Lonchura striata: one gene and its partners. The protein of the gene in region 3 purifies or fractionates together with the protein of the main gene of each other region. This does not show direct contact. Links are inferred from orthologs where the notes say so. Each region holds a gene or a part of one and is shown on either strand. Other genes may lie near its edges.

What was found. Proteins that work in one complex are often made in the same cells at the same time.
Region 1: the proteins of CASK (region 3) and SNTB2 purify together in Homo sapiens (affinity purification with mass spectrometry; 3 studies listed by BioGRID and IntAct, with this or other methods). This does not show direct contact. The link is inferred for Lonchura striata from reciprocal best matches to the Homo sapiens genes CASK and SNTB2.
Region 2: the proteins of CASK (region 3) and ARHGEF26 purify together in Homo sapiens (affinity purification with mass spectrometry; 3 studies listed by BioGRID and IntAct, with this or other methods). This does not show direct contact. The link is inferred for Lonchura striata from reciprocal best matches to the Homo sapiens genes CASK and ARHGEF26.

Annotation. Positions count from the first base shown.
Region 1 is NC_134615.1:23,002,593-23,009,592, reverse strand, and holds the start of SNTB2 (beta-2-syntrophin), read right to left. Parts: upstream 3,046-7,000; 5' UTR 2,933-3,045; coding exon 2,419-2,932; intron 1-2,418. Other genes in the region: UTP4 (U3 small nucleolar RNA-associated protein 4 homolog), read right to left, coding at 3,580-3,696, 4,041-4,151, 4,227-4,412, 4,537-4,632, 4,961-5,067, 5,301-5,460, 5,573-5,695, 5,796-5,860 and 4 more. UniProt on the Homo sapiens protein: Adapter protein that binds to and probably organizes the subcellular localization of a variety of membrane proteins. May link various receptors to the actin cytoskeleton and the dystrophin glycoprotein complex.
Region 2 is NC_134612.1:26,471,326-26,478,628, forward strand, and holds the start of ARHGEF26 (rho guanine nucleotide exchange factor 26), read right to left. Parts: upstream 3,046-7,303; 5' UTR 2,949-3,045; coding exon 2,880-2,948; intron 1,482-2,879; coding exon 1,445-1,481; intron 1-1,444. UniProt on the Homo sapiens protein: Activates RhoG GTPase by promoting the exchange of GDP by GTP. Required for the formation of membrane ruffles during macropinocytosis. Required for the formation of cup-like structures during trans-endothelial migration of leukocytes.
Region 3 is NC_134604.1:110,082,128-110,089,242, forward strand, and holds the start of CASK (peripheral plasma membrane protein CASK), read right to left. Parts: upstream 3,028-7,115; 5' UTR 2,928-3,027; coding exon 2,869-2,927; intron 2,763-2,868; coding exon of another isoform or gene 2,622-2,762; exon of another isoform or gene 2,605-2,621; intron 1-2,604. Other genes in the region: uncharacterized protein LOC110474871, read left to right, coding at 2,622-2,762. UniProt on the Homo sapiens protein: Multidomain scaffolding Mg(2+)-independent protein kinase that catalyzes the phosphotransfer from ATP to proteins such as NRXN1, and plays a role in synaptic transmembrane protein anchoring and ion channel trafficking.

The DNA of each region.
Region 1 (7,000 bases), on a different chromosome or scaffold from region 3:
GGACGGGGAGCGGGCAGGAGACACCAGCCCCCCGCTTCCCAGCGGCTCTGCTGAGCCACGAGGTGCTTGCCCTTGCTGCGGGCAGCACAGGAGTTAATATTAGCTGCTGCCGCCGCGCTGATCCCGGGATTACCGCCGGCCCCACACCCCTAATCCCGCTGCCGGGCCGGGCAGGGAGCGCCGCGGGCAGCTCCCGCTGCGGGGCCGCTCGGCAGATGTTTGCCAGATGTGGGCAGCTGCCTCCAGCACTGGGAGGGAGCTCAGCGCGTGGGGCTCCAGCTCAGGCACTGACCCCGACGGAGCCAGGAAGGTGAGAGGCCAAGCTGGGCAGCCAGCAGCTCGGGAGCCAGGGGTGCGGGTGCCCCGCGGTGACCGGGAATGGTGGGTGATGCCCAGGACTGTGTCTGCCCACGGTGGGGACAGCAGAACCGGCTCCCAGTTTTCAGTGGGCAGCATCCACGGTGCAGGCAGGACACGGAGCGCCTTGTGCCAGCAGACACGCGGCTAGCACGGGGGTGCGACCACCCCTTCTGCTTCTGGCGAGCCGTGACCAGCACGCAGCCGCACCACGAGGCCGCTGCTGCCCCGACGGAGCCACCGTCACCCGGCAGAGCCACTGCCACCCACGCGCTCACCGCAGAGGAAGCCCGGCTGTCGCTGCGCCCCTCGCTGCCCCGCTGCAGGAAGGGGCTGCACGGCACTGCCTGCTCCGGCTGCACGGCACTGCTGCCGGCACACCGGCCTCACCGGGCCGAGCCCCCACACCCGGCCGGGAGCACCGACCCGGCTTCCCCAGGCCTGTGCCCGGGCAGTGCCCATGGTCCGCACCGCACCCACAGCTCCGGAAGGGCTCCCTTCCCCCAGGGCAGCAGATGGGCCCGTGGGTGGTGCCTGGCGTGGGCCCCGAGGCCAAACCCAGCCCCAGGATGGGTGACACCAGCCCCACGGAGATGATGGTTTCCCCTCCACCACTGGCACTGAGCCCAGGAGAAGCTCTGGCACCTGCCAGGGCGGTCACAGCTCCAGGGCTGTGAGGAGGGATGGGGCTGGATGGCACTGGATGGGCAGTGTCCCCCATCAGCTCCTGTCCCAGCACAGGGAGAAGGAAAGGGAAAGGGAAAGGGAAAGGGAAAGGGAAAGGGAAAGGGAAAGGGAAAGGGAAAGGGAAAGGGAAAGGGAAAGGGAAAGGGAAAGGGAAAGGGAAAGGGAAAGGGAAAGGGAAAGGGAAAAGGAAAGGGAAAGAAGAGGCGTCTGCCGTGGTGCCCGTGGCGGAAGCAAGGGACAAACACAGCACAGAGCTGGAGCTGCTGCAGGACAGGATCAAACGGCTGGGCAGCGGGAGGAAGGACGGGCAGCGGGAGGAAGGACGGGCAGCGGGAGGAAGGAAGCACGGGCTGAACCCAAGAGCAGCCCCCACCACAGCACCAAGCCTGACACCGCTGCTCCACCTCAACCCCTGCGGCACCCCAGCCGTGCCCCAGCGCCTCGTGCCAGGTGTGCCCACTCCGGGGAGCCCAGCCGTGTCCCCTCGTGCCACTGCAGTGTGCCAGGAGCTCGTGGCAAAGCGGCAGCACCCGTCCCTGTGCCCTGTGCCCAGCGGGCACCGTGTCCCCGGAGCAGCCTCGTGCAGCGGAGGACAGACAGACGTGCCAGGACACCAGGACAGTGCGTGTGGCACCACAGCACTGTCTGATAGCCCTCCCTGATGGCACAGGGGGCTCGTGGCCTCGCGGTGCCCCGTGGCACACCGTGCCGCGCCGCCGGGCTGGGCAGGTCCTGCCCGAGCTTGTCGGGCTGCCGGGAACAGGTCGGGCAGGAGCCGGTGGCTCCGTGGGCCAGTCCCGTGCCAGCTGTGCCGCGGGCACGGGGCCCGCGGGGACACCGAGCCCGCAGGGACGTGGGCAGACCCTGGACCAGCACCCGGCGTCACAGCCCCGCCTGGGGCCAGCCAGCCAGCCTGGGGGTGCCAAGGATGGGGGACAACCTGCTCAGGGGGACGCCACAGCCAGGGGACACCAAGGCTGCCCTGGGGGATCCCAGATGTGTCTCCGAGGGAGCCCAGCCTGTCCTGGAGGAGCAGTCGGCGGGGATATCCTGTCCTTGTGCCCGGCTGCCATCCCGCCACAGACGGAGCAGCCCGACCCGAGGGACGCCCCAGCCCCTGTCCCCTGCCCCCCGTCCTGCGGGCCCCCCGAGGCTCCGGGGATTTGGGGGGACACACAAACACGCCAGGACTGGGGTGGGGCAGTGGCGTCCCACACCCGGAAAAGCGACCCAGAGCGGGTCCGGGAGCCCGGTGACAGCGGCAGGGGCGGTGGTGGGAGCCGGTAACGGCGGGGGAGCACCGGGGCGGGGGACAGGAGAGCACCAGGGGCCCGTACCGGGGATTCGGGGGACAGGAAGGGGCTGAGGCGTTACCTTCAAGGATGACCTCCCTCCCGGCTCTCTTCAGCGCCTGCACAGCTTGATCGTGGGTGGCATCGCGGAGATCGACGCCGTTAACGGCGAGGATGGCGTCGCCTAACCGGAGCGCTCCGCTCCTTTCCGCCGCCAACCCCGGGAAGATCCGTGAGATCAGCACCGGCATCCGATTCTCTCGACCTCCCTTAATGCTGATCCCGAGCCCTCCCGCCTCCGCTTTCACCACCCGCACCCTCCTCACGCCACCGGGTGCCGCCGCCTCCGCGTTGCCGTTCACCACGCCGTTCACCACCGACGGATCGCCGGTTCCCGGTTCCGCCGTTAAGCTCAGCGTTTCGCCGGTCAGTTCGGCCGACACGCGGACCCAGCGGTCCCGCAGGAGCAGCTCCAGCAGCCCCGTTTTACAAGCCCGGGTCCACACGGCCATGCCGCCGCCGCCGCCGCCGGTCACCGGGGAAGGGGCGTGGCCTGGCGGAGGGGGCGTGGCTTGCGGCCCCGCCCCCGCCCGCATGGCGCGCCACGGTAGGCTCGGGGGCGCGGGAGACTGGGGTGGGGCCGCCCCGCCCCCGCCCCGATTCCACCAATCAGAGAGGAGGCGGCTAAGCCACCGCTGATGCGATTGGTCGCTCTGAGAGGCGGGGCAAAGGAAGCCACGCCCCGCCCGCCATGTCTGGCGCTGGGATTTATTTGGCGCGCTGCGATTTATTTGGCGAGCCCCGCTGTGAATCTCCCGTGCTCTCCGTGGTCCCCGATTTCTCGCCCTCCGTCCTGGGGAATGACGCTTCCCTGGCCCACGCAACACCCACAGCCCCCGTCCTTAGGGAATGAGGCTGCCCGGCCCCAGGCAGCACCCACGGACCCACACGACTGATGCGGAGGGAGAATCCAACACCGGGATTAGACACTGAGGGAAAAGGGATGGAATTTGGGGTGTCACCTTATCCCTGTGCCCCGGGGAGGAGAACTGGAAGGATATGAAGATCATGTTGACATGATGGTGGTGTAACAACAGGGAGTCACGCACAAGGATGAGCCCTGAGCCTGGGCATGTACACAACAGTGAGGTTTTATTCCTACAGCACCTTAAGAAAATTCTTACAGTGCCCCAGGAAAGCAGCACAGAGACGGTTCCCAAGGTTGGAGTGGCTTCTTCTGCTCTCAGGTGCCAAATTTCTTCTGTTGGACAGGCTGAGGCAGCTGGGTTTTGAAGTCCATGATGGGTCGTTCCACCACAACCAGGCAGTTCTTGTCCAGCAGATCCATGAAGAGCAGTGGCTGCAAGGCCAGAGATGGGAATCACGGAAATAGGGAATGGTTTGGGGTAGAAGGGACCTTAAAGGATCTCGTTCCACCCCCTGCCATGGCAGGGACACCTTCCACTAGCCCAGGTTGCTCCAAGCCCTGTCCAGCCTGGCCTTGGACAGATCCAGGGGCAGCCACAGCTGCTCTGGGCACCTGTGCCAGGGCCTGCCCACCCTCCCAGGGAACAATTCCATCCCACTATCCCATCTAACCCTGCCCTCTGGCACTGGGAAGCCATTCCCCCTTGTCCCCTTGTTCAAAGTCCCTCTCCAGAGCCCGAGCACCTCCTGACCCTGCTCCCCAACACCACCACCCACCTGGAACTTCTTGCAGATCTTGAAGGCGTGGAGCTGCCGCTTCCGGGCGGTCTCGGGGAGCTGTTTCAGGGTGCTCTGGTTCATCAGGATGGCGCCGTCGTCGGGCAGGGGCTGCGGGAGCGGGCAGAGCACGGGTCAGGCCGCCCCCGGAGCGCCCGGGCAGCCCCGGCCCTCCCCCCGGCTCACCAGGGACTTGTCGAGCACGCAGAGCAGGAAGGTGTCGTGCAGCAGGATGTGCGCGGCGTTCTTGGGGTTGAAGGTGATGTGCGTGATGGGCGAGTCCCGCTCCAGCCAGACGCGGTGCAGCCCCCGGCTCTGCACGGCGCGGCTCCAGCCCGTGTACTGCTTCTCGGGGATGCTGAACTCGGACAGCTGCGGGGCACGGACACGTCAGGGGCGCCCCAGCGGCTCCAGCCAGGCCCCCGAGCCACGCTGGAAGGGCAGGGACACGGGGAAGGGAGCAGAGCCACGAGAGCTCCACTAGCAGAGCTCCTACCTGCTGGTCCGAGTAGGCGATGACGAGGTTGTTGGTGATGGGGTGGATGGCGAGGGCCGATACGGCGCAGTCGTAGCTGGGCACCACGCAGTGATGCTGTAGGAGGGGACAGTGTGCTGGTGGGACCCGCCACAGCCACTGCTGACAGCGCTCCCACACACCCATCCCGAGCAGAGCCTCCAGGACTGCCTCTGACCCCCCTCCCCACACACCCACCCCGAGCAGAGCCTCCAGGACTGCCTCTGACCCCCCTCCCCACACACCCACCCCGAGCAGAGCCTCCAGGACTGCCTCTGACCCCCTTTCCCACACACCCACCCCGAGCAGAACCTCCAGAACTACCCCTGACCCCCTGCCCCACACACCCACCCCAGCCCTGCTCCAGGGGTGCAGTGATGTCTCCAGGGGTCCCTCCCAGGCCCACCTTGAAGCATTTCAGGTTGTAGACGTGGATGGCCCAGTCGCCGCTGACGGCTGCCAGCCAGTGCCCGTCCGCGCTCGGCGCCAGCAGGTAAACGGCCTCGGAGCAGCCTGCAGACAGCCTCGGGCTCAGAGGGGTGCTGGGAGCCTCAGACCCACAGACACCCAGCCCCACGTCCCCCCTGCCTGTCCAGTGCCCGGCCACGAGGGCACAGACACCCCCGGGAGGGACTCGCACACCCCTCAGGGCAGGAAAGGGGGACACCCCCGCTCTGCACCCACAGGGGAGGGGAATGCGGAGCCCAGGAACCCCCAGCCCCACCCCAGGAACCCCCAGCCCACACCTGAGGGCGGCCGCAGTGTGTGCAGGTGCTTGCAGCCCCCCGGCTCCTGCAGCTGGAAGACGTGCACAGCTCCTCGAGCGGAGGCCACGAAGAGGCTGTCGGAGGCGGCGGAGAACTGGAGCTGGTAGGCTGGAGGCAGCAGCTTGGGCGCTTTGGGGACCTGGCAGAGGGGAGAACGCAGCCCTGGCAGCCGCCCCGCTGCCACCCATGGTCCCCACGAGTGACGCTGGCTGTGCCAGCCCCCAGGCCCCACGGCCCCCCGCCCCTCTGACCTTGCTGAGGCTGACGCCGTCCCCGTCGCAGTGCACGCGGTACAGCTGCAAGCGGGAGGCCGTGGAGTAGCCCAGCCAGGTGCCACAGGGTGAGATGCTGCTGCAGTAGATGTGCTCCGGGCCCTGGGAATGCCACGGGACTGAGGGGGGGCCCGAGGAACCCCCAGAGCCCAGCACACGCCCCTCACCTGCCCCAGGGGCACCCCAGCCCCCTCAGCCCTACCTTGCTCTTGAGCTGCAAGAGGTGCTCGGGCATCTGGCACAAGGGAAGGACCTCACCGTCCTTTCCTGGGAAAGAAAGCACACGGACACCGGTGAGTGGGAAAACCACACGGGGCTCTCTGAGCAGCTGGGGATCCTGGGGGAGTGCCCAGACCCTTCCCTGAGGCCCAGGACAGCTCAACCCCCAAATCCTGCTGGCAGCCTGGGCTCTGCCAGGGAGCTGACACCAGAGAGCTGTGCCTGTGACTCACCAGTCTCCTCAGTGGAGCCAAGTCTCCAGAGCTCCAGGTACTGGGAGAACTGGAAGAGGAGCAGCCGGGCTTTCCTGGCGCAGGAGACGAGGCGTCGCTGCGTGGAAAAATGGGCAGGGTGTCATGGACCCACAGCCTGGCACAACGGGCTGGGGCACAGCCGGAATGCCCTGGAGTGCTGGTGACTCCCCACGGGGGTGAGCAGGGAAATCAGGTCCCATGGGATGGAGATGGAGACCCAGCAGGACCAGCAGGACCAGCTTGGCAACTTCCACTGCTCCTTGGCAGAGCCTCCAGATGTACCAGGAAAGGAGACAAACAGGGCAGAGGAGGGAGCCAGGCTCAGGGAAGGAACCCTGGCAGGGCAATGAAGGCACCTGGAGGGGCAGGGAGATCCAGCCCTTCCAGCCCCACGACCCCAGTCCACGCATCACTCACGTGGGGGAAGATGAATTTTCGGAGCACCGCGTCGTAGCTCTTCTTCTGCACCTTCTCCATCAGCGGGCGGATCACCAGCTGGGCATCCAGGCCTGCAAGCCAAGCACAGCTCAGCCACACCCTGGGAGGGGAGATCCCGCCCAGTGCCGGAGCCAGCAGCAGTCCTACCCCCGGAGATGAGGGCGGTGGGGCTGTGTGCCACGGCCCGCACGTCGTGGCTGTGGAACTGGAACACCTTCGTGCGCACCCACTGCTTCTCCAGCCCGCCCAGCCTCACTGGCAGCAGCTGCAGCTGGTAGGTGGCCCCGCTGGAGGTGCCCACGACTATGCTGTCCTCTTTCTGTGGAGGGAAACGGGACGGGGCTGTGGGAGCAGCTGGGAACAACAGGAGGGCACTGCCAGGAGGCCTCGAGTGCGGCACCTCCGCTCCCTGCCAGCCAGGGGGGAGCTGGGGGTGTCACCCACCTCTGACACGGCCAGCGAGAGCACGGCCGAGGTGCTGACGGCGCAGGACTCT
Region 2 (7,303 bases), on a different chromosome or scaffold from region 3:
CAGGAAAAGCATGCTGCCCACAGCAACCCTTCTCCTGTCAACTCTGAACGCTGTCTTCACATGCCACTGTTTCCAGTTCCAGAGACCTGAGATCAGAACTATTGCACAGAGAAAGTTCAAAGCCTGAGGAAGCACGAGCCCCGTGAACCAAGACCAAACACACTGCTGGCACTGTCAGTGGCAAAGGAACACGGGCGTGGAGCACTCCTGCTCTCCCCACCTCCCTGGCCACACAGCCCTGGCACCAGCAGCGAGCAAGGGCAGAAATTCAGCACCACAAAACCCACAGAGCAACGAAGCCACTAAGCAGGCAGGCTCTGAAGGGCACTTTTAGATGGGCCAGGCTTTGGATAAGATCCAATCTTGCCCTACAAGAGAAAGGGGAACTGAGGTGGAGGTTTGGCTGCTCCAGGCAGGGCCCCAGCTCGCCTGGCTGGGTGGGTCTGTCCCACCTGCCCAGACCTGGGGTGCCTTTGGGGCAGCTCCTGGGGAAGGGCTGTCGAGTTCCACACTTTTAACAGAGCAAACTGTCACAGCAACTGAACTGTGGGAGGCATTCCAGAGAAGGTTATTAGCTGGGATCATCCAAGACAGACAGGACCATTGGAAGGGAATCCAGAAAACATCATGAGGAGATAGTGTGAGAAGAGATAAAAATAGAGTAGGGCAAGGGATGATGCAAAGAGAACACAGTGGGAAGCTCTGAAAACACAGAGGAAGATAACAGCAGCTGAGATGACCTCAAACAGGCATTAAGCAGAGAAAAGCCAAGAGTAGCAGTTATTATAACATCTATGATGGGTCTACAGAAGTTCTGTTTTCTTGTTGAAGTATCAGGAAAAGCAGCAAACTTGGCAAAACCCAGAATTAACGAGTAACACAAAAATACAAACTCCACATACAAAAAATACAACTCCACAGACAGTGTTTTTCTGACACTTATATTTGAAGCCTAGGTAGCAAGAAAAGAAAATGCTTGCAGAGCCCAAGGGTTCAGCCCAGCACCCTGAGCTGATGAGAAGGCAGAAACAGCTCTGTGAACCCCAGCCTAGGGTAACCATTTGGTGTGTGCTGCAGGGATGGCACAAACCCCTGAGGGCAAATGTCCTGCACTGGGCAGAGCCCCAGACACAGGCAGGAAGGCAGGCAAACCTCCTTGGAACTGTCAGGGCTGAGGCAAACACAGCCAACAGCCCACGTGCTGGGAGGGACAGCAGCTGAAGTGGAAAAGAAGCCCTTGACACACTTTTTAGCCTGCCACTGCATAGTCTTTAAAATAGCCCTAAAATAGGCCTAGTGCCAAAATTATAGCCCCACATCTCAGATGCATTACTGAAAAACAAGGTACTGAGTCTGAGAGTCCATACAAAGGAAGTGTGCCAAACGATCCTGAAGTTCATTTCCCTTGGGAGTTATTAACAGCTCTGGACAGAACAGGGCTCACCTTCTCCATCGAACGTCCCTTGTCCTTTCAGCATCTTCTGCAGATAATTTTAACAGAAAAGAGAGCTATGTTAGAAGGAGGAGAATGCAAAATAATCACAGTAACAAGAATGTCTGTTTTACTCAAGACTTGGGCACCAAACCAACAGGCCCTAATCTGTAAACTTCGTATGTTGGACACGAGTTCATTAAAAACAACTGTGTCATCAGAGAAAGTGAAAAGCTACCCTAGTTTAATTTCTCTCATACCTTGTTTAGATGTATTTCCACGTGTTTCAAAAACACATTACACTGGCTTGAGAGGGGTTCAGGGAACCTACAGCTCATCCCTCTGTGCCAGGGCTGTCTGTGGAGGCGCAGCTCTGGGAGGCTGCCCTTCCACTCTGCAAACAAAACCACTGCGAGCACTTTGCCAAGGAGCCTTCTGAGAGCACAACAGACCTCTGAGATCAAACAGCTGTTCTGGTGCGACACGTCCCAGGGCCCAAGAGTCTATTTAATAAAACACTACTTGCAGAGAACTCCGTAAGGACAGCACAGTTTCATGTCCTCCTACCTTAAACACAACACACTGCTTTAAGTCTACTACCAAACCAAACCACACTCTGCAGCTGTTCACAATTTCATCAATTTCTATTTCACCCTTGCAGTGTTTTCACAGAAGTACCCACTACCATAAACTGGCTGAAAACTGCCATAAAGCTGATAATTATTTTAAAAGCTACAGCATCAACTCTTGGCCTGATGTACTTTATTACACATAAATCTACAAACACATTTCATACAGTAACAAGTTATATCTAAAATAAGGAAATCCAATACTACAGTATGATAAGTAAAAGAACACTATCAGTATATCTCTATAATTGAATACATTAACATTCAATGTAACTCTACTATAGGATTCTAAGGGATTACAACCAAGATTTATAAATAGGCATGCTGCTTTTACTTTCAAGCATTAAAAATTAAAATTGCTTTCAGGCATTTAAATACCTGAAGTAATTTCTATCAATTTAAAAAGTACTCAGTGATTTTTAAAAATACTGTCTCAGAGAAGTGAGAGAGGAAGTTCATTTTTCTGTCTCTATTCTAGCACGCAGACTTTATCAAGACAATGTCCCTTATGTTTTTCCTGTTTACTGCTTTCTGGGACACAGGTTTTAAGCCCCTGGTTCGGTTGTGAAAGCTGGAGAACCCAGCAGGAACAGCGAGCAGGAGGCAGCCAGCAAAGGCTCTGAGCCGCCTGGATTTCAACAGAGCCCGCCATCTCCAACACCTCACTTGGAAAACAGCACTTTCAAAGCTCACAGTTACTATGAAAAGTTTTGCATTGGGACAAAACCAAACTGAAAGTTCCCAGCGTTTATGGCAAAGGCAGGATCAGCAGGCCACGCTCCCACGGAGCCAGCCCCTTCACCTATCAGCGCACTCACCTTTATCCTCCCCAGGCTGGAGAACTTCTCCTTATCTTCAACCACCGCTTTCAGGATGGGCTGGGACATTCTGTTTTTCTTCTTGCAGTCTGCGGAGCCGTCCAGGTCCACGCCGCTGACCACGGCCCGGCGGTAGGACGTGGAGCGCAGCCCGCGCCGCAGCGCGCCCGGGCCGCCCTCGGGCTCGTCCTCGGGGTCGCTGCCCGGGGCCGGCCGGGGGGTCTCCAGCAGGCTGCGCACCCTGGGGCCGCGCTCGGGGCCCGCGGGCCGGCTCTCGGCCAGGCTGCGGGGGATCAGCTGCTGCGAGCCCGCCCTGCGCGCCGCGGGGCTCCGGGAGCCGGGCAGCGCGGGGGGCTCCGCGCCCGGCCCCGCCGGGACGCGCCCGGGGCACGGCCGCGGCTCCTCCGGGACCCCGGCACCCCGGCCGCTCCTGGGAGATGGTCCCGGTCCCTCCGGGACCCCGGCACCCCGGCCGTTCCTGGGGGATGGTCCCGGTCCCTCCGGGAGCTCGGCAGCCCGGCCGCTCCTGGGGGATGGTCCCGGTCCCTCCGGGAGCTCGGCAGCCCGGCCGCTCCTGGGGGATGGTCCCGGTCCCTCCGGGGGCTCGGCACCCCGGCCGTTCCTGGGGGATGGTCCCGGCTCCTCCGCAGCCCGGCCGCTCCTGGGGAACCCTCCCGGCTCCTCCGCACCCCGGCCGCTCCTGGGGAACCCTCCCGGCTCCTCCGGAGCCCCGGCAGCCCGGGGACACGGTGCGGGCTGGGCGCTGGCTCCGAACACGATCCGCTGCTGCTGCGGGGCCAGCCCCGCGGTCCGGGGCGGCCGCGGCCGGCGGCCCGGCCCGCTGCCCGGCGGGGAGATGGTGCCGTTGGCGGTCGAACCGACGGGGCTGTCCGGAGCCAGGGCGAGCAGCCGGGAACGCCCCGGGGACAGCGCGGGCGAGCGCGGCGGCCGCACGGTCCCGTTGGACACCGATCCCATGGCGGGGCTGCCGGGCGAGGGGGCGCGGGTGCCGGCGGGCCGAGTCGCGGAGAGGGCGCACCTGTCCTCCACGGGGAAGTCGGTGACGAGCAGTCCGCTGGGGCTCTGGTACGACCGCGGCCGCGGCTTGCTCCAGGCGAGGGACTGCGGGCGGGGGGTCGCCGGCCGCCCGCAGCGCGGCGCGGCGGGGCCCGCCGGGGGCCGCCCGTCCATCGCCGCCCGCCCGGCGCCGCCCGCGAGGGAGGCGGGCGCGGAGCGCGGCCCGAGCGCCGCCACAGCCCCGCCGGGCGCGGGGCCAGCGGGGCCGGGCCGGGCGGAGCCGCGCCCGCCGCCGGTGCCGCGCCCGCCCCACCTGCGGCCCGGCTGGGGGCGGGCGGAGCGGCGCCTCCGCCGGGGCACGGCCCCTGCCCCGCCCGGCCGGGCTGCCCCGGGCCCCTGCCCGCGCAGGTAGCGGCGCCCGGGGCCGCGCGGTGAGCTGCGGCAGGAGCCGGGCCGCGTTACCGCGGGCGGGTGAGGAGAGCCGCGGGCAGGACCAGCTGCCCGGCCCCGCCGTTCGCTGCGGCGCCAGCGCCCGGCGGGGTGTGCCGGGGATCCTGTCCCGTCGGGGATCCTGTCCCACCGGGGATCCTGTCTGAACAGGGCTCCTGTCCCACCGGGGATCCTGTCTGAACAGGGCTCCTGTCCCACCGGGGATCCCGTCCTAACAGGGATCCTGTCCCGCTGGGGATCCTGTCCCGCCGGGGATCCTGTCCCAGCGGGGCTCCTGTCCCGCCGGGGATCCTGTCTGAACAGGGCTCCTGTCCCGCCGGGGATCCTGTCCCAGCGGGGATCCTGTCTGAACAGGGCTCCTGTCCCGCCGGGGATCCTTCCAGTGGGGATCCTGTCCCGCCGGGGATCCTGTCTGAACAGGGCTCCTGTCCCGCCGGGGATCGTGTCCTGCCGGGGATCCTGTAAGGACCAGACAACTCTGTGTACATGCACTTAAACTTCAGATGTACTATTAATTCTTCTGCCAGAGAACACAGTAAAACAAAAAATCTTGCTAAGAATCACATTAAGCAATGCACAAAGAAATTAAAATGAACAAATGCGTATGTCCACAAATAAGACAAGACTGCAAATTGCCACTCCAGTTTCAAACAGCCAGAGCCGAAGGGAAAAGCCACAGGCAGAACCTAAGATGCTGGTTTAGTTGTCGCTTGGGATTTCCCAAAGGATTATTTCTAAAATTATCTCTTTTAACTTTCCACATGAAATTGCCAAGCTATTGGATATAGTTGCAGCATATTACTTAACTCATAAATCCTAATTATTAATGACCGAGGTAATCAGCTTTTACAAGATTATTCTCTTGCACATACTTATTCACTGTGCTACAATTACAGGATTAATTTTGATTCCTGAGCAGCCACCTCAGTGTTCCATTTCATGCACAGTAAAAGAGAAATAAAACCTTACAATAAAATTGCCATCATCAGGAAAGTAAAACCAACTCTGTAATCTAAGAGAAGAAAGAAATGTAAGCATGGTTATTAAAATAATCCCGAGGCTGTTGTGTAGCAGTGCCCAGTGTGAGCTGCTCAGGGCAGTGCCCAGCGAGTCCTGCCCGGCACAGAGCCCGCAGCACCCTGGGCACGGGGGCAGAACCTGCAGGGCAGCTTTCCTCCATCTCCACAGCACTCCGGGTCACCCATACGGACCTTGAGCACTTCCAGGGACACTTTGAAGTGAGCCTCCCATTTCCCTGCCCCAAGACCTCAAGTCTGGTGTCAGGACAGGGACAGTTTGAAGTGAGCCTCCCATCTCCCAGGCGCAAGACCTCCAGGCTGGTGTCAGGAGTTGCACAAACCAGCAGCAGTTCCATCCCTGCCCGCAGCACACACTCTGGGATATCCAGAAGCCCACATTTATCATAACCAGCATGAGGCAGGTGTGCACAGATATGTTCAGCGGGGAACATTTTTATTGCCTGAAAACCTACCAAGGAAAATGGAGGATTATTCTTCTGCTCCCTACATCCCCATCTAAACCACTTTGCCTCTCTGTGCAAAGAGCAAAGCCAGCAGTGAGGCCTGGCTCTGTTTATGGCCCCAGTGCTTCATGTCTCAAGCAGTGCTCGCTGCTGCTGGCCCGTAGGATGGTCCTGGCCATGCCCTGCAGCTTCAGAGCTGTGCAGGTGAGCCTGGCTGGGCGCTGGAGCCCAGTCCCTGCTGCCTCTGGCCTCCCCAGGGCCATTCCCAGCACACTGTCCCCTCTGTGCCCAGAGAGGGGGGCCTGGAGTGGCTGCAGGACCAGCACCCAGCAGTGCCCAGCTGCTGTGAACCCCCAGAGGAATCGGCTGCATGTGCCATCTGTGGGAGCTGCCAGCTGGGAGCTGCAGTATAAATGGCACTCTCTGAGACTCTCTGTTTCCTGGGGCTGCTGACAGGCAGCTGAAGAAGGGCCAGCCGTGCTCTGCTCACAGCAGCTCTCTGTCCCAGAACTGGCACGCAGGGGGTGAGGCTCCCTCTGTGCCACACAAGCCCTTGCCAAGCCCAGGGTGAAGGGGCACCATGAGCTGAGAGGAGGTGTCGGTGTGGCAGCCGGGCACTGGGACACCTCTGTCACTGCTTTCACTGCTTCTCCAGGGACACAAACAGGGAGTGCAGCCCCTTCCCAATGCCAGGAGCAGGATTTTCCCGAGGAGGACACGGTTACTGCAGCAACACAGGCAATCCCACAGCACTGCCAGAACTCAGGAGGGTCCAGCCTTCTGACCTCCTGCCCCTCCTTCTTTTCTCTACAACTGCACATAGGCTGTGAGAGACTTTACCCTGAACACTGCTCAGCCAAATTTTAACTGTAAATCAATCCAAGATGGCAGAACACATTTCATTATTCCTATTTTCCTCTTAATTGATTTTTTTTCAGCAATAATAGAAAGCTTTGCAGCATTCATTAAAAGCTTTAGGGGAAAATCACATCTCATTGTACTGCAGGAATAAAGGACCTGGTAATACCCATGGAGCATCAAAGTTGAAACAAGATGCTGCTTTGCTGCTCAACTGGGATGAAAAGAAAAAGCGTAAGAGAGAATGTGTACCCAAGAAACACACTGAGGACTGAGGTGCTGCTGCCTCTGCTACTCTTGTCATGGAGGTTACAAATTCTTCTCTATGACTGGGAAATGAACTTTGCCTTTGCTAATATCTAGACTGATATTCCTTGTTTCCCAGCCAGTTTACCAGCACTAGTTCCTGGTCACGTCTCTTCCTTTGCTGCCCCAGAGGTGGGTGCAGAGATTGTCTCCTCTGTGAGAGGAGGGCACCTGGCAGCTCCATCATTTATAGAGCTGCCTGGGAATTTTCCAACTGGAAGTATTTGAGATTTCAATATATTTCAATGTATTTCATATTTTGTGTGTGCATATTTCATGTTTTGATGTGCAAAACATTTCCCACCTTGCT
Region 3 (7,115 bases):
GCCAGTTGAAGAGAGTAACCTCAAACATAACACGTTTGGTTAAGTAAAAATACATGACTAATGTTAGTGCCATAAATGCCACTTTAAAAAGTTCAATGAGAAATTGAGATTGTTATTCCAATTTGTATCTTCATATAGCTTTCAGCAATGGAAAGGTATACTGGAAATACATGCAAAATAAGATTTCCCCTAACATTTTTTTCTAATGAAAACATGAACTAGAATTTCTCTCTATCCTTCCTGGCCTTTCTTTCCACCCACACCCCTTAAAAATGAAAAATGCATGCTTGCAGAACTTAAACACACTAAATGTCACATAATAAACAGTTTATCATTGCCATTCCCATCACTTCATTCATATACTACTACCCTGTAATTGTTCCTCACCAAAAGCTATTATTGCTGCATTTACTCAAAGTCAGTCTTATCAGTTTATTGTATTTAGAAGTGTTTAAAGCTTATCCTAAAGATCAGAATATGCCTCAACAAATTGGACTGTCTACTGTCAGCCAGGAAAGTATCTCCTGATTTCTCTAGCAAATTGTATGGCAACTTTGACTAAACACTCAAGACGTTTTACAGGCAATGACCTCTTTCCCACACCCTTTATGAAAATACCTTTTACTACCTTAAGTGACAGTGGTAACTATCTATTCAGGAAAGATAAATTACACATTTTAGTATTTCATGTGTCCAAAATGCAAATCAGAGCCAGATGTGCTAGCTGCAAGAAGTAAATCACTGTACCAATCAATAACAAATCCCAGGGACATGCAGACATTTAGTGTATATTTCACTGAAAGATGTTTGGTCAGATGCATATGTAGCCATTCATAGCAGATTTACAGCAGCTTTCCTGAAGTTTCTTATGGACAAGCAAGGTGGTACCCAGAATCTATAAGCTAAATAAAGATGCTGCACCTCTGGTCCCTTGGAATTTACCTGTATAGCATTGCAAAGAAATAGCAATACCACTCATAAATTGTACATGACAGTTGTGTGTTTATATTTTAAATATTTGGGTTTTTTTAGAGGACAGACTTGACATCTGTTCAGAAAAACCTGAGTAATCACTACCAGCTATCAGCCCTTCACACCACCACTGTTGCTATTTTCAGTGATACACCCTGTTTTTGCTACAGTGTTCTTGGCATCATCGTGCTGCTGTGATTCAATATTTATCTGTTAGATCTAGTTACATCACAACACCCTCTACACTACCCAAATCTCGTGTGGAACTTCTGCAGCTAACACCTAATCCACCGGTTTTCAGCTCTCCCTTCGAAATTCTCCAGCCGCGGAACAAAAAGTCGGTGGAGATGTGCAAACATCTGGCCCCCTGCGAATCGATCATCCATCCTCTGAAAGGGTTTGCGGTCATGCATAAGCACTGCACCTTCCTCCTGATGGCAATCGGGCAGGAACAAAACCGAGTGTGAACTGCAGTGGTTAGCATAAAACCACTTGTGAAAGGAGTGTGCCAAAAATTGTATTCAAAACACTTCAATTACAAGAGTTTTGCTCCTCAACAGCATCAAGTCAAAGCAATCATATTCCATTTATGATGGCAAACAAGGCCCTTGGAGCTTAATATTTTTAAAAGTTGTGTTAGGAGCAAGGTGGTAGTGTCTTGTGAAACAACAGAACCGAGTGCTGAAACTTCTGCTGACAACAAAGCCACCTGCTATGTCCAAGACCAACATTTCAGCATAATCCCGAGAAAAGATTAATTCTAAAATATTTTTAGCCCTGGCTTTGGAAGCAGACAGCACTCCATGTACACTGAAAAGCATCAGGGTGGAGAGCGGGCAAGAGAATACATGCAGGAAACATTCTTTGTTTATAACCAAAACACGGTCAATTATTCTCATAAAATCCATTGTCACGAAGAAAAAACTCCAAGCACACTGAACAGTATCACTATTAAGGTTTGCAGAGCAATCTCAGCTTTGGAATCAGACACACAGAAAATTAGGTAGTCACAGTATTACTGTATATTTGCTGTCCGTTTTGCAACACAGACACAACTAGAGAAAATAAATGAAAGATGATGAAGAAATAAAGAATGCATTTCAAAACTGAGCAGTGACAGAAATACGGGGGCAGGGGAGAATGGAGTTCAGCTTTAATTCTTTATCGCCATCTGATTTGGGGGAGTCTCTGCATTTTCTTGGTGACTCGAATTGTCATTTTCATCCAACAGTGGTAACCCGAAACAGCAGCTGGGTAACGCCAGCCAGAGCCTCAACTCCCAGGTTTCGTACAAGCCTCGAGCATCGGTTTAACAGCAGTTGCATAATAAGACTCAAAAGGCCAAGCACTCCTCCTGCCTTGTACATCTCCATTTCCACAAAAACCAGAGTGATGGATCTGGACGAGAACCGAGCACTACCCGAGCGCCACTACCAAGCTGGTTATTATGCAGCAAAGAAGAGGAAAACCCAACACCTGGCGCACAAATATGAAGACACCCAGTGAATAGGTGGATCTACGGAGAGCTATCTTCCCCTTCCCTTCCCCAAGAGGCAATCCTTGATGGGTGTGCCAGGAATGGGATATCGGGGGGGAGGAGAAGAAAAGGGGTGGGAAGTGGTTGCCGCTTGCTGCAGCCAGGCTGAGCGATGGCGAGGTGGTTAATCATGGTGGCTGAGGAAACATGGGGTCACTTCTCCCCCTTCCGCCTCCCGTGTGACGAGGACGGTGGGCACCGGCCACGGGGTGGGGGACCCGGACCCCGCACGGACCCGCCGGCGGCGACTCAGGTGGGTCCCGGGCGGAGCATCCCGGTGCCCGGTGCGGGCGGGGGGCGCGGGGCAGCGCTCCCCCGCCCAGCCCTGCCCTGCCCTGCCCGCTCCCCGCCGCACTCACTTGCCGATCACCTCGCAGAGCTCGTACACGTCCTCGAACAGCACGTCGTCGTCGGCCATGGTCCGGGCGGGGGGGCTCAGCCCGAGAGGCGGCGGCCCCGGGGACGCCCGGCTCCCCCGCCGCTCAGCGCCCACCGCCACCACGGTAAATCCCGGCCGCTCCCAGCGCCGCCCGCCCGCCCGGGGCTCCCGCGGCCGCGCCGGGACTCCCCGCTCCTGCCGCTCCTCCTCCGCCTCCTGCCGCGGCCGCCGCCGCTCCCCGCGCGTGTCGCACCCCCCGCGCCCCCGCCTCCCACCCCCCTCCCGCCCCCTCCCTCCCGCGCTCAGCCGCGGCTCCCGCGGGCGGCTCCGGCTCAGCGGGGCGGCGCGGGAGCCATGGAGGGGATCGGGGCGGGCGGCAGCGCCGGGTCACTCCCTCGCCGGGCGGGAGCGGGGCGCGCGTTCCCGGGCGGGCGGGCGGGAGCGCCGGGAGGGAGGATAATAGTGGGAGGGGGAAGGGCGGGAGGAGCCCCGGCGCGGGCGCTGGTTCCGCTCCCGGGCGCGAGGAGGAGGCGGCGGCGAGGCGGCGGTCGCGACAGGCGCTCGCGATAGGCGCTCGCGGCACCGAAGGGCGGGCGGGCGCGCGCGCGCGCGCGTGCTCCCGGCGCCGCCGTCACGCAAGCCCCGTCACGGGGGCGGGCGCCGCCGGGGGGCGCGCGCGCGCACGCGCGCGGGGCGCGGGGTGGGGGGGCGGCGAGCCACGCCCCCAACCGCCCGCTCGAGGGGTCCGGGGAGGCGCGAGGGGAGGGGGCTCGCGCAGGCGCGGTGACGTCATGGCGCGGGGAGGGGGAGGTGGGTGTGACGTCACGGCGCGGGCGCGGGTGCCGCTCGCGCTTATCGCCCGTGCGGCCCTGACCGCCTTTATCGCCTTTATCGCCATTATCGCCTTTATCGCCTTTATCGCCTTTATCGCCTTTATCGCCATTATCGCCCCCGTCACCCCCAGCGACCCCGCGGCCGGCACGGGGACGGTCGCGCCGCGCGCTCGCAGGAAACCGGGCAGTGGCGGTGAAGAAGCCGTGTGCGAGCCGGGCTCGCACGGCTCTGTCCCGTGCTTTATTTTCCCTTCTGTGTGTTCCAGCGGGATGCAAGTGTTTTCTGCGGCACGAACCGGACCGCCTGTGTTGTTGGGAGAGCCGCTCTTTATCCCTAAAACAGTGAATTCGCCCTGTGGCAGTGCGCCGTGAGCCGCTCCTCCAGCTGTGCGGGGCACCGCTGGCTCCAGCCGCGCGGAACAACGCGCGGGAGACATCGGGTGGATTTTAAATCACCCCATGCTCGCACCATTCATTGTTCCATGGTGTTTAACATGCTGCACGTGTGTGCTTTTCCAAGTTTTTTGAAAACTTGGATGTTTTGTTGAAGAAAGCAAAGCTCTCTTGAAGGGTTTAGTCGGGAACTCTTGCAGTTTACAGAAAGTATTTATTTCTCTCAAGGTACAGTAGTACACGTGCAACTTCCCAAAATTCATTAACAGAGGTAAATTATGGAATTGTTCCCCAGACTGAGGAAAAAAAAACTATCAGAGCAGAATTATCTGATGAAATGGTTTAAAGGTTGGCTTTAAAACGTAGAGCTGACAACACCTTACCTTGTTCCTGTCTCCAGAAAAAATTTAAAAGTAATAAAAAAATAAGAAAACCAGTGAAAATAATTACATCTATTTAATTACATCTAACTAATTATATCTAATAATTACATCACTGCACAGTGCTATCTTAAGGGTGAGAGACATTCCTGTGGGTCTGTGCTCCATCCCATACAAACCTTTGAAAAATATTTAAACCACCATCTGCTCTTTGGACTGCAAACAAAAAGCTGATATATTTAAACCGTTCTCTAAATTTCACACAGCTAAACGTGGGCACCCATTTTTTCCTTTTGCAGGCCCACAAGGCTGAGTCCCACACAGGTCACTCAGAAAGAATTTTTAGAATATGGGTGAGTGTTCACTTAGACTTTGAGCTGGAGTTGTCTGTGAAGCCGTCATGAGAAGTTAACATAAAAAAAACAATTCAAAAGTGCACAAGAAAGAAAATTGCTGGTGGTGGATCTCTTCCTGAGCTGGGGCAAATGCTTTGGCTGCTCCAGCAGCATCACCTGAGGTGTTGCCTCCCTCTGGATGCTGAGTGCTTGGTGTCACACCAGGCCATATTGCCCAGGTGAGACAGTTTAAACTGAATAAAAGTTTACCAGGCATAATATATGGGGGCCTTTGTGCCAAAATATTGTCATAGAGCAAACCTTCATTGGACATTTGTGTTGGTTTTGGGAATAGGCAGCACATAAATGTGGCTTTCTGCTAAAGTACAAGGTCCTGGGGCACAGGCTGGGGGTTTGTTGTGATCCTGGGAAGGAAGTTGGAAGACACAGAACAAAAATGAGCTTTTGCTGAAGAGAGGTGATCCATTCCCTGGCATCCAGGGAATGCCAGTAGGCATCTGGCTGACTTGAGGGGTCCTAGAGCAGCCTTAGCATTCACTAGGCTCAAAAGAAGCAAGGTGGATCTATCAAACCTGTCCTCACTCAGTACAGGGGAAGAGTGAACATGGGTGCTGCCTCCCGTTTGAGTTGCATGAGGAGAATCTGTCTGAACCAGGATTTTGGTGTAGATCTGGATCATAAAAAGTTGCACAGTGAGCCAGTAAATGCAGCAGAGATGCCACTGCATCAGCAGTTACTGGAACAATTGAGAATTGTGCTGTTACTCTGTTTCAGATTGAATGGGCTCAGGAAAATATGAGCGTTGGTCTGCCAGAAGGACCCAGTAGCATGATAATCCAAGCAGAGCATTTGCAGGTGTGTTTGTGATCAGAAATTCCAGCCACACGTTCAAAAGTAGTCATTCCCTTTCGTAAGCAAGCATTTTTGATTTTCACCCATTTATCCAGTGTGGATCCTTACAGATTGTGGGATTAAATTAATAATTCTGAAATACATACATCTAACATCTCATCAAAAAGTGTGTAACCATAATGTTTGGCATACGAGCAGAAGTGACTTTGCACTTGAGACCTGAAATTATTTACTGGCGAGGTAATGGTCTGAAAGCAGATCAGTTGGTTCAGAGCTGGGAGAGGGACTTTTTGATCAGGCAAGAGTAAGAGAACACTGAGTGTTCACATGAGGAAATGCCCTACAGCCCCTGGTAGCCTTTCCCAAAGCACTGCACGTGTTTCAGCTACCTGTCTGCCAGATTCTGGACAGGCTGGTTAAGATTGTGTATGTTTAGGTTAACCAGTTTTGCATTCAAAAAATGCTAAGGAGTAGCTGAGTGTGGGCTCGGGCACTAGAAAACTTATTTCTTAAAATTTTGTGGGGTTTTCAAATTTTATTCACCTGGGGTTTTCGCATACAGTCCGCACAGCATGAGCCACAGGACAGGTAAGTTGTTCAAAAATTGGTTTTGGAGCAGTAGTTATCAGTTATCCAAAGAGCCTTTGTGTTTTCATTTAAAATTTGATGTAAAAAGTACACGATGAAGAAGAACAAGAAATTTCAGTGGTTTGACAGCGTTCTGTTATCCCACAGATGTAGAAAGCACCAAATCCTGTTCCTCAGATTCCAATTGTAACAGGGTCTTGGGTACTTGATCTGTAACCCAGATATTAATTCCCTCCCTCTTAAAAAGTTTGAGAATGACACTGAAGATGAGTATGAGCTGTTAGTATTTTGTAAAAGAGAATATTGCAGGCCTACCGGGTTTCTGACAAACTGCCATATTGTTTAGGTGGGTCAGTTCTGTGAGCTGAAAATTGTTCATACTTTGGGCAGTAGAAAACATGTTTTGGTTGAAATGAAAAGTGTTTTGATCACAGGCACATTTTCAGGGATATTTTACAGGGACATTTGCAGTCCCTGTAAAAACTGTTAGTGAAAAGAGCCTTCAAAAGCCATCAGCTGACCTGGAGTAGGTCTGAATGATTTCTTGCAAAAGTCTGTAATTAAATCAGCTCAGAATCTGCCATGTGGCAGGGTAGGCTGCAGCTGCAGAGCTCAGGTGTAGCACACAAGTTATGCCACACTGTAATTAAGGAGGCAGGGTTTCCCACGAATGCTTGTCTTAACAGGTGAGTGATGTTTGTCTGGCAAGATAAATCTCCAGCTGCATTTTTTCCCCCCCAGTGGAGTTGGTTTTAAGTTCCTTCACAGTGTCAGTTCTCCATTGCTTGGTGAGAAGGAGACTCTCACTGTCACTTTTCTTCACTG